Linked DNA regions of Tamandua tetradactyla. The protein of the gene in region 1 interacts with the protein of each later gene in a pairwise test. Links are inferred from orthologs where the notes say so. Each region holds a gene or a part of one and is shown in the gene's direction. Other genes may lie near its edges.

What was found. The genes of interacting proteins can lie anywhere in the genome.
Region 2: the proteins of MAP2K3 (region 1) and FGFR4 come close enough for resonance energy transfer, tested with the Homo sapiens proteins (2 studies listed by BioGRID). The link is inferred for Tamandua tetradactyla from reciprocal best matches to the Homo sapiens genes MAP2K3 and FGFR4.
Region 3: the proteins of MAP2K3 (region 1) and RASSF1 come close enough for resonance energy transfer, tested with the Homo sapiens proteins (2 studies listed by BioGRID). The link is inferred for Tamandua tetradactyla from reciprocal best matches to the Homo sapiens genes MAP2K3 and RASSF1.

The regions. Positions count from the first base shown.
Region 1 is NC_135332.1:158,079-161,820, reverse strand, and holds the start of MAP2K3 (dual specificity mitogen-activated protein kinase kinase 3), read left to right. Parts: upstream 1-1,337; 5' UTR 1,338-1,420; coding exon 1,421-1,469; intron 1,470-2,403; coding exon of another isoform or gene 2,404-2,419; exon of another isoform or gene 2,420-2,612; intron 2,613-3,742. UniProt on the Homo sapiens protein: Dual specificity kinase. Is activated by cytokines and environmental stress in vivo. Catalyzes the concomitant phosphorylation of a threonine and a tyrosine residue in the MAP kinase p38.
Region 2 is NC_135346.1:58,739,772-58,743,513, forward strand, and holds the start of FGFR4 (fibroblast growth factor receptor 4), read left to right. Parts: upstream 1-1,260; 5' UTR 1,261-1,422; intron 1,423-3,742. UniProt on the Homo sapiens protein: Tyrosine-protein kinase that acts as a cell-surface receptor for fibroblast growth factors and plays a role in the regulation of cell proliferation, differentiation and migration, and in regulation of lipid metabolism, bile acid biosynthesis, glucose uptake, vitamin D metabolism and phosphate homeostasis.
Region 3 is NC_135341.1:35,763,564-35,767,305, forward strand, and holds the start of RASSF1 (ras association domain-containing protein 1), read left to right. Parts: upstream 1-1,267; 5' UTR 1,268-1,334; coding exon 1,335-1,584; intron 1,585-3,455; coding exon 3,456-3,571; intron 3,572-3,649; exon of another isoform or gene 3,650-3,742. Other genes in the region: ZMYND10 (zinc finger MYND domain-containing protein 10), read left to right, coding at 31-156, 253-374, 495-620, 699-774. UniProt on the Homo sapiens protein: Potential tumor suppressor. Required for death receptor-dependent apoptosis. Mediates activation of STK3/MST2 and STK4/MST1 during Fas-induced apoptosis by preventing their dephosphorylation.

The DNA.
Region 1 (3,742 bases):
AGAGAGTGGCCGGCAGGGCTGGTCCCAAGAAACTCCAACGGACCAGGTTTGATGCCTGGTGGGAAGAGAGCCGCACAGGTGCCCATTTTCCAGGGGATGGACAGAAGACCATGAGGTGAAACGACTAGGCCAGGCTCACTTGGTCCATTTGGGACAGAGGGCTTTGGGCCACTTGGACACCCAGGAGTGGTAAAGCCGGGGTGTCTTCCTGTAGGAGGTCGTTATGAATTCACATTTCCTGGGCATGTGTGTGTGTGTGCATGCCTGCGTGCGTGCCAAGCAGGCCTCTGAGGCAGGCACTTCCAAGCATGGGATGCTTTCAGGAAGGCCTCAACGCCCCATGGCACAGACAAGTAAACAGAGGCACGGACCTGCTCAGGGACTCATCCAAGGTCTTTGGGATTTGAAGCTGTGCCGTCTGAGTCCAGATCTCATGACTTTCCATCCCACTGCCTGGAAAGGGTGAGCAAGAGATGCAGGAAGCAAATGGTGATAATTATAAGGCTCACTCACCCCTTATCTGCTCTGGTTCTTTCACAGCTGTGTGGGCAAGGCGCTGGGATCATCTTGTTTTACAGAGGTCAGCCCCTGTGCCACCGACGGGTCATGGCATCTGCTCCCTCCCCAAGGAGGCCCCGGATGGGCCCACAGCCAGCCCCCCTCACTCTCCATCTGAGTCATTGATCCCGACTCCAGCCTGGCCAGGGGCTGCAGAGCACAGAGGCTCGGGGAATGCCGCAGAGGGAATGCTCTGTCTTAGCGGCGCTGACCCAATGTCCAGGGAACGCCAGGGTGAGACCTCGGGCAGGGCCTCCGCACCCACCCCGCGGGCATCTACAGCACGGCCAGCGCACGTGGACCGGCCTGGCCAGCGGCCGAGGCGCAGGGTCGTCCCCAGTCTTGCCCCCCGCCCCGGGAAGGGGGGAAGTCGGGGTCTGACCTGAGTTCATCGCAGGGGCACTTTCGTCTGTCCCTGTGGGGCTCGCCCGATGCTCCGGGGCCTCTCAGAGCTTTTCCAGGTCACACACCCCGGGCCAGCCCACGTACGGCCTCCACTGGGGTTGCGGGCAAATGGGGGCGCGCGCTGAGGCCCCGACCCGGGGCGGGGTCTGATGCATGCGGGCGGGGGCGGGGCCTGAAGGGGCCCGGGCTTCCCGGCGGGAGGCGGACTTGACGGGCAGTGGGCGGGTCCTGCTTCTGGGCGGGCCCCGGGGGCAGGCGGGCCAATCGGCGCGCGGGGCGGGGCCGGGGGCGGGCGCCGTCGGGCCCGGCGCGCTGCGCTGCCCAGTCTGACTCCCGCGCTGCCCGCGCCCCGCCTCGCTGCCGCCGCGCCCGGCCGCTCGCCCGCAGCCATGAGCCCGCGCCGCGCCGCTCGAGCCCGCCGCCCCCTGGCTTAGTCCCGCCGCCGGCTCCCCGCGCCATGGAGCCACCCGCCTCCAGCACCCCCGCCGGCGTGCCCGCGTCCAAAGGTACGAGCGCCCGGCTTGAGCCCGGCTGGGCCTGCCGGCGAGCCCTTCCGGGGTCGGGCCTGCCCTCTGGCTGACCTGCTCTGCCTCGCCCCGGCCGCCCCCGCCCAGCCTGCGACCTCACTCGGACCCCCGGAGGCCGCGGGGCCGCTGCCTGGCCGAGGCCTCCCGGGCCGACACCTCGTTTCGATGCCCCCGCGCGCGTGGGGAGGGAGCCTCACGCTGCCCCCCAGGCTGGGCCAGGAGGAGCCGGGTGGCCCACTGACCCCCAGTGACCCCCGTCGACTCCCGCCGCGGGCCCCAGACTGTCTCCGGGCTAGTCGAACTCGGACCCCTACCTCGTCTGCGCCCTTGCTGGGGAACTCGCTGGACTCCCCCGTCCTGGGGTCTGGGCGCCTCAGCTCGCCCCAGCCCACCAGTTTGGAGCCCACTTTGCCGCATCTGCGGCTGCCCTGCGTGGGGCGTCTCCGCAGACCCCGCGCTCCGTTCTGCAGCCGCGGCCGGGAAGCTTGCCTGTCCCTTCGGGAGACGGTGGTGTCCCCCCGCCGGCCGCGCACTCTCTTCCCGGTCCTTCGCGGGCCCAGGGCCTCCAACCCCTGTCCAGGGCTTGGGTCCGTACTGCGGCCTGTCCGGCCGCCCCCGGTCCTGGGTCCCCGCCGGGCGTTTTTGGAAGTGGTCTGTGAGCCGGCGGCTGTGGCGGCGGCAGGACTTGTCATGGGGAGGTGGGGGGGCACGGAACCTGGAAGGCGAAAGGGGATTTTTTTTCCCGCAGTTACAGGAAAGGATGTTTTGGGCATGTCAGAGTCTGGGCAGGCGGGGTGGTATGAGAGGGCTCCACACCGGGCGCGGCTGTGGGGAGGGGCCGCCTCGGCCCAGCAAGCCCCTTTACCACCCTTGGGCCTCAGTTTCCCCATCTGTAAAGCGGGCGTAATCATACCTTCTTGCGTGCGCATCACGAGTGTGACGTGAGCTCACGGGTACGGAATGCTTTTAAAAACATGGGTGCTGCCATGAGCTGCTCGGCAGAGCCCGCGGCTTGGAGTGTGGTGGTGTCCTTGTGGAAGAGCTTCGGCCTGGCAGGCCTCACGGCATGGTCGGGCGGGAGGCCGCGTGGGGTCCCAGAGGGTGTGGGCCGGTGGCGGACGGACAGGGCGGTACCTCTGGCGTCTTACGTAAGCGGACACCGGAGCCCTGACCATTGGCCAACCGCGGTGAGTAACCCGGGAGGCACTCGCGGGGGCGGGGGCGGGGCGCCGGCCGCTCAGGCCTCGTATTTACAGACCGCTGGGTCGTAAATAAGGTGCTTCTCTACTCTGGAGCTAGGTACTGGTGTGGTGGGTCATGGGTGTGCTGTGCGCCCCAGGGCAGGTCCGCCACCTCTCTGGTGGAGGTGTTCGTATTTGGAGGCCTTTTTAATTCTTGCATGCTGAAATAAAAGTTACACTTACAGACTTGTGAAGGGAGAGGGGTGACGGGTGTGAGGGGCAGCACTGCTGGGGGGGCACTGTTTGACCCGTGTGCTGTGTAACCTCAGGGCTGGCATTACTCTCTCTGGGCCACTCTGTAGAGAGGGCCAGGATGAATTTGCAGCTTGGGGTATTGGCTGATCTGCAGCTTGAGGTGGGTGGGGAGGAGGGCCAGTATCTCCCTGAGGCCCAGGGACCCTGCCAACCTGCTTGGGGTCCAGGGAAGGAGAGCCATAACACCCCCTCACCAAAAATGATAAGGCTCCTGCCTTCAGAGCTTTTTCCTATGTGCTGTGCATTGTCTCCTTTATTCCTTTATTCCCTCTACCCAGCCCCATTTTACAGAGGAGACTGAGGCTCAGAGGTGTTAGGGGTCTCCAGAGGACTCTCCCAGCTCTGCCCCCACCTCCCATTCCTGTGCTGGCAGCTGGAGCTGAGCCTGCTGGGAGAGCCCTCCCCTGGTCACACCCCTGTGCCAGCGGGCGTCTCCTCCAGACCAGTGAGACACGGAGCTGCCTTGTGTGCGCAGCCCTTCACAGTTGGCACGTTGCGAGCTCTCTGCAACCCGACCCATTTGACAGGCAAAGCTGAGGCCAGTGGGGAGTCCCCATGCCCGCCCCATCCCATCCAGGTCCCGCAGGGGTTACTGCTCACCGTCTCGGAGGAATTCCAGCAGACCTGGGAGTGTTTGGCCCCAGCTTATCCAAGTGTTTCACCCTCACGCCTCTGCGTTGCCTGGTGCCCATCCTGGGCCTGGAGGACTGACTGGGGCCCAGGCTCCCAGGCACACCCCATACTCCCTCTCTGACA
Region 2 (3,742 bases), on another chromosome or scaffold:
ACTCAAGCTGAAGGGTTTCCTTTTTCCTCAAGGATCCTTCAGAGGAGCCCAGAGCTTGGACTTCAGGTGAGGAGTGAGCAGGGGTCATAGGTCTAGACCATAGTCTAGATGGTCAAGAGAGAAGAACTTACAGGTGAGGTCCACCTGAGCTGGGTGGGGGCGGAGCTTCTCGTGAGGCACCTACCGGGCCACGTACTTGAGATAAAATGGCAAGGAATGCAGGCTCAGTTCCTGCCTTTTAGGAGCTTAGCATTACGCAACTATTTACACAGTTGACCATTCTGGCGAGAGTGATGAGAAATAACGTGTCCAAAATAATCACAGCTAACATTACAAAGCAAATGCCATATGCCAGGGAGCGTTCTGAAGGATTATTCACCCTGATACGTCTACTGTTTGCAAAAACCTCCTGAGGATGGTATAATCATTATACCCATCTTACTGACGAGAAGATGAAGACACAAAGTAACCCACCAAGCGCGCGCGGTAGCTGAGATTTGAGCCCACCGGGTCCAGTCTCACAAACCGAAAAGAAGCCAGAGAGACCCTGCCAAGTCCAGAGGGCTTCTCTGAGGAAGTGCTTTTTGAGCTAAGACCTAAAAATAAATGTAATCAGCCCAAGAAGGGACAGAGCGTTCCAGAAAGAGGGAACGGCACGTGCAAATGAGCAAGGACCAGGTTTTGCCAAAAATGTTTATATTTTTAAATTTTCCAGTTGCTACTCACAGCTACTGGAAAATGGAAATGGGTTGGTGGATGTAGTCTGATCTGTGTTTCAAATATTCTGGAAGTTGCGCAGAGAATGGATTTGAGGGGGCGGGCGAACGCGCCTAAGAACAAAGGGGCCAGGTTGGGCCAAGGTCTGCTTACGGCGGGCGGGCTGGATCTCGTTCCTAGTGGGGTGAAGAGCACGGGGTCTACCCACCAGTAAGTGGTCTAGAACTTGGAAGTGCTGCGAAAGAGGCGGAGTCTGAGGGGGCTGGCAGCAGGAAGGACCCCGGAATTCAGCCGAGCCTGTCCCGGGTTCCGCCAGTCCCAGTGGGCGGGGCGGGGCTCGAGGTGGGCGGGGCTCTGGGTTGTCCTGGGCCAAGCCGCTGTCAGGATAGCGCTGGTCCAGGCGGGGCGGGGCCCTTGGTGGGCGGGGCCTGTTGTGGGTGGGGCGCTAAGCTGCCAGCTTTCACGCCGCTGTCAGGATAGAGCCGGTCCAGGCGGGGAGGGGCCGGGGGGCGGGCGGGGCCGGAGTGGGCGGGGCCCTGGGCCGCCCCTGGCCCCGCGGTGCTGGTGGGTGCATTTCTGGCTCTCCCGCCCCGGGCGGACACGCGCCCGGGCTGTCTGCGGGCCCGGCCGGGCGCGGGGGCGGGGCCGTGGAGCCGCCAGGTGAGCGGAGACCCTGTGACGGGAGCGCAGCCACGAAGGCTTGAGGTGAGCTGGGACCCGGTGCGGGCCCCGGCTGTGCTCCCCGCCGCCAGGGGGCGAGAGGCTGCGGGGCTCCGGGGGCTGCCGGCTCCCAGCGCGGCGGACCTGGGCGTCCGCTTGGCGGGGTGGCGGAGGGGGAGGTAAATCAGTAACCCGCGGCGCACACAGGGCCTTTTGTCCCGCTCCGTCCAAAGAGCACCCTGGCCGCGGAGCTGGTTACTCATTGCCTACCCGGGCGGGGGCGGGCGGGCCGACCCTCTCCGCAACTCCCCCCTCGGGACGCGCCGGCCCATCCCTCCCCCTAAGGTGGCTCAGTGGGGGGGAGGGGGAAGACGGACACTCGTCCCAGGGCCACTGGGCCGTCTGCATGCCCGGCTTAGAGATGAAGAAGCTGAGGCTCCGAGTGATGCAGTCACTTGCCTAGGGTTCCCCAGCGCGTGAGTGCGGAAGGCAGGAGGAGAACCCGTGGCTGCCAGATGGAACCAAGGGCCGGCTGCCCTCTCTGGATTGGGCTATCAGCGGCCTTGGTTGACCCGTAATGCCCTGAGGTTCTGAGGTCGGGATACTGAGGGTGGAAATAAAACCCCCGGGCCTCTCCACCCCACTCCCAGCCTGAGCTCTGGATGCAGAGTGCTGCGCACCGTGCAGAGTGAAGGGAGGAGCAGGGGGCCACTGAAAAGAGGAGGGGAGGGAGCCCAGCGACGGTGGCATCTGAGCCCTAGCCAAGTGGAGAAGAGGTATGGGCAAGAGAGCAGATGTGTTCAGTTTTGAAAGCCAGTGATGTCCGTGCTCCTGAATGGGCAGTCAGTGAGACCGGAGAGATTGGTGAGGTTGAGGAGGGAGGTCTGGGGTGCTGGATAAACAGTTTGGACTTGATCCTGCAGGACGCAGGTAGCCACTAAGGACTTGTAAGCTGGAGGGTGACATGTCAGACGTGCATTTTTTTAAGGCCCTGGTGGAGGGTGGAGGCTGAAGAGCCCAGGGAGGAGATATTTGTAAAGACCCACGTGAGAGATGACCGTGACCTGCCCCAGTTCAGGGCAGGGGAGTGGGAAGGAATGGAGAGGAATGGAAGAGGCAGAACAGACAGAATGTGGGATCCTCTGGAAATAGGGTGGAGGGAGGGCAGAGGACAGGGGCTGAAGGGGGTGATTCCCCAGCTGCTGACTCTAATGATCGGGCAGTTTATAGTCAGGGCAACCCAAGGAAGGACCAGTTTGAAGGGGGAAGATGATGGCTCTCACCAGGACAGGCTGAGTGCCCACTGCCTCAGATGGGGAGCTGGACAAGGGACAGTAGCTGAGGAGAAAGGATGTGATGGATCTACTTGCTTTCTGAGCAAGGTAGATCCAGAGTCACTGGTGTTCCTGGTTGTTACCCGGCCCCCGGTAACAGCCAGTGGGTTGTTCCCAGCCACTGGACGGTGATCAGCCTATCCGCCTGCCCCATCTGGGCCAGTGTTCCTTGTGGGGGACACATCTGCCTCAGTGGCATTTGTTGGAGAGTAACCTGGATGGAAGGATTGGGTTCATCACACGTGATAGGAACAACCTTAGAACTGGAGGTGACTGGCTGAGTGAGGGCAGACCTGGCATGGGGGGCTGCAAGGAGGAGAACATTTTGACATTCTGCAGGACCAGCCCCCCTACACAGAGTATCTTTTTTTTTTTTTGTCCTCAAAGCAGTCCTGCAAGGAAAGTGACCCAGAAAGGGACAGAGATTTGCAAATTGGAGTCAGTATTTAACTTGTCTTTTTGACACTCAAGTCTGCATTCTTCACAAAACCCTGTGTTGCCTCAGATGGAATTATGGGGGGGTTGGAATTGTGGGGGGTGGGGGTGGAGGTCGACAACTCTGGTTCAGAATAAGGAAGACCTTGCTGCTTAATGTGGAATGTGCTGCCACTGGAAGTATCCAAAGCTGGCCATGGAACTGACAGCCATGCCATAAGGAGTGGGGTCAGATCAGAATAACTGCCAAATGCTGAAGCTTGGCCTGAAAATACATTTCAGTTTTTTTTTCTTTGGGGCTCTTCAGCAGTAAATTCATTTATTCAGAAAAAAAAATAATAATAAATGATGTGTGCTGAGAGTGAGCAGAGGATGTGTCTCCGTTCTCTGCTTCCCTCCAAGGAAAGACTCCCTGAACTGCCCTTTTCTGTGAACTCATGCCAAAGTCTCAGCAGGACCCAAGGAGTGCAGGAAACCCGCCCCAGCCCACCTTACACAACCTGATGTGGGGAGGCCTTGGGCTCTGGCGTCAGCAGAGATGGCTCCAGTTTCTGCCCCGCTGCTGCCTGACTGTCGGCCTGGACCAGCCTGCTGAC
Region 3 (3,742 bases), on another chromosome or scaffold:
CTAACACAGCCTCCACCAACACCCTTGCAGCTTCAGGCCTTCCTCACTGACACACTGCTTGACCAGCTGCCCAACCTGGCAGATCTGCAGCATTTTCTGACCCACCTGGCCCTGGCTGAACCCGAGGCCCCCAAGAAGGACCTGGTGTTGGAACAGGTAGGCACTGGGATATTACTTGGGACCACTGTCCTCTTTGCCTTTGCTCCTCCCTGCTACTCTCTACTTCTCCCCCCAACCCACTCCACTCCCCAGATCCCAGAAATTTGGGAGCAGCTGGAGCGAGAGAACAGAGGCAAGTGGCAAGCCATTGCCAAGCACCAGTTGCGACATATGTTCAGTGCCTCAGAGCAGGACCTGCGGCTACAGGCACGGAGGTAAGCCCTGCTGAGCTGATAGAAGGGGTGGTAAAGAAGTAGGAGGCATGGCCTGGGAATGGGGGGCTCCCTATGTGCCCATCTGCCAGGCCTAGTCATGTCTTCCTGACCCTTCCCCAGGTGGGCTGAGACCTACCGACTGGATGTGCTGGAAGCAGTGGCCCCAGAGCGGCCCCGCTGTGCCTACTGCAGCGCAGAGGCCTCTAAGCGTTGCTCCAGATGCCAGAACGAATGGTATTGCTGCAGGTGAGGGTACCCTAGGATCCTGGAACCCTGAGCCCCACCTCCAAACACTGCCCTCCTCACTGGTCCATCTGTCTGCAGGGAATGTCAAGTCAAACACTGGGAGAAGCATGGAAAGGCCTGTGTCCTGGCAGCCCAGGGTGATAGAGTCAAATGAAAGTTGTGGCCGTGGAGGGCCGACCAACTCTGCCAGAGGAGCCCACCCAGAGTGCGCTCCTCAACCTAGAAACTTCAGCCTGGCCTCCTGTGTGGGTAGCGCCATTGGGTGGGGTAGAGCAGCTGACCATCCCCTGCCAAAGCAAAGCGCTCCCCACTTCCTGCCCCACCCTGGGACACTGCCTCAGAAAGCTGGGGCAGGAAGACTGGGCAGGATGTGGAGACCCTCTTCCTCTAGCAGAGTAAAGCAGGCCTCTAGAAACACGCTTGTCTCAGTGTGCTCTGTCGCAGTCGGGGGCAGAGGGGGTGGAGGGGGGGTGTGTTCATGTGGATGAGGGAGGCAAGGAAGGGAATGCGGGGATTTTGCCAGTCTCCCCACCCCAACTCCTCTCGGCTCCGCCTGCGGGCTGACGGAACCCCGCACCCAAGTTTCCGTTGCACAGCTCTCCTTGGCTCTCACCGAGCTCCGCCCTGCCTGAATCTAAGGGGGCGGTGTCGCAGTCGGGACCCGCCCGCCCGGCGCTTGCTTGAGCGCGCAACCCTGGCCAGGCCAGGCGGACCATGTCGGCCGAGCCCGAGCTCATCGAGCTACAGGAGTTGACACCCGCTCGCAGCCCCGGCCCCGGCCGTACCCGCCTGGCGCGCACCAATGCGCTTCGCATTGCGCCAGGCACTGCACGCTACCCCGAACGGCACCTGGCTCCTGGCCGTGGCCACCGTTTCCAACCGGCTGGGCCCGCCACGCACACCTGGTGCGATCTCTGCGGCGACTTCATCTGGGGCGTCGTGCGCAAGGGCCTGCAGTGTGCCCGTGAGTAGCAGCCCATTGCGCAGACGAGAACAGAACCGCCGCTGAGGGGGAGCGCCATCGCTCCGGACTAAGTCGAGGTGGAGGGGGGTGGCAGGAATGGCCCCACGGACCTGGGCCGTTATCTTGGGCTCCCATCGCGGGAGAGAGTGCTGACAGATGGTTCATCTTGCTATGCGCCACCTGCATCTGGGGCGGTTGGTCAGGGGCAGTTGCCTTTGAATTCCAAGCTGCTAATTTCAAGTTTCTTATCTTCCCTTTAAAGTGCCTTGGCCCTTCTTGAGAAAGGCTGTGAACCCATATCCCAGGCCTGCCCCTTCCCAAAGATTCACTTACCCAGATCCCACTAAAGAATACCCCTGTGGTGAAGGGAAGTTATGAAGGGAGGGGACCTGGGAAAGTTGAGAACGCTGGACAGGCCCCCTGCAAGCAGGGATTTTAAGTCTGTTCAGCAAACACCCACATGGGGCCAGTGAACCAGGTGCTGCAACATGGAATTCAGGGACACACCAGCCAGGCCTCTGTCATCCTGTGAATCACCATCACCGGCAAGCAGAGGTTGCTCTCCCATTTAAATCACCTGGGCGCTTTTACAGCCCTCCCACTCCCTATGCCTGGATCCCACCTCAGATGGGTTGCTGGAGATAGGCCCTATGCATCAGTAATCTTTTTGAAACTCCCCAAATCATTCTAATGTACAGCCTGGGTTGAGAATCACTGCTCCAGTCCATTCAGAAACCTAGGGATATAGTGTCAGGCCTGTGTGTGCACGGAGATCCTCCGTCCAATACAGGAGACTGCCCAGTATTCAGGTGACAGAAGCACAGAACTTATGATTGAATACAAAATATGAATGCTGCACCATTCCCAAGGAGAAATAAAGTGACCATGGAAACAAGAAATGGGATCGTTTTGAGTGTGTTTTTGAGATAGAGGCAAGGGAAAAATCAAGAATTGAGTTGGGGGTTTGCCTTAAACTGCTGGAGGAATGGTGGCAATTTCCACTGAGATGTGGAACTCCAGTGAATCGAAGAGGTGAGGTAGAGGAAAAGTGAGTAAAACTTTGGCCATATTCGGTCTGAAGTGTCTTTTAAACATTCAAGTGAATATGCTGATACACAAGATTTGCTCTGAGAAGAGAGGTCAGTGCCTGATGGAGCCTTAGATCTGGAAAGCAAAGCAAGTGGATAAGATAGGGGTAGTGAGAGTAGACAGAGGAGGGCAGCCATCAGGACTGAGCCCAGGCACTCCCCATTACGAGATCAGCAAGTTGGGGCAGAACCAATAAAAGAGCTGAACAGGAGTCGTGGAGGTGAGAGAAAAACCAAGAGAGTATGGGCACCTAGGAAAAGCAAGAGTTAAATAATACCGAGGAGGTAAGGGTGGAAAACTCAATCTCGCAAGTTGCCAAGGACCCTGGCCAGGGCAATCAATTCCGTGGAGGGAGGGGCAAGCCTGGAGTGGGTAAAAGAGGGAAGGTGAATAGTCAGATGCATAGAGATAAGTTTTGGAGTGAGGGGTGTAGAGACAGAAGACAAAAGACCAGAGGCGGTTAGGGATTTCTGTTTTTCCCTTAAGTAAGCGAGGGGGAAACAATATGGAAGGGGTAATCTCATTGCTAGGTGCTTGAGAGCCATCTATTGAGCAGACCTAGGTCCCTAACCGCCAGTGGCCTTCCTGCCAGTTTCTAAACACCCAGAGGCTGACATTAGAGTCTGTGTGGCAGCGGGTGGAAAATGAGACCCGAGAGAAGACCAAACAAGCAGAGCCCGGGGAATGGGCCCTCCACCCGGGGGCTTCCTTTGGGTCCCCCTGGGCGCTTCTCCGAGGTGAAAGTGGGACTCCCTCTGCCTTACGGCCCGGCCTTTCCGCAGACTGCAAGTTCACCTGCCACTACCGTTGCCGCGCGCTCGTCTGCCTGGACTGCTGCGGACCCCGGGACATGGGCTGGGAGCCAGCGCTGGAGCGGGACACCAACGTGGTGAGCGCGGTACGGGAAAGGGCGGGGCAGGGGGCATACGGGGGGGACACAGGCGCGCGGACCGTGGACGGGCCACAGTGCAAGCGTTCACAATTGCGGCCCGGACGCTACCCGCAATGAGCGTAATAACAGCGGATTTCCGGTGGCAAAGAGTCGCTGGTTCAGCGCACGGGTTCGAAG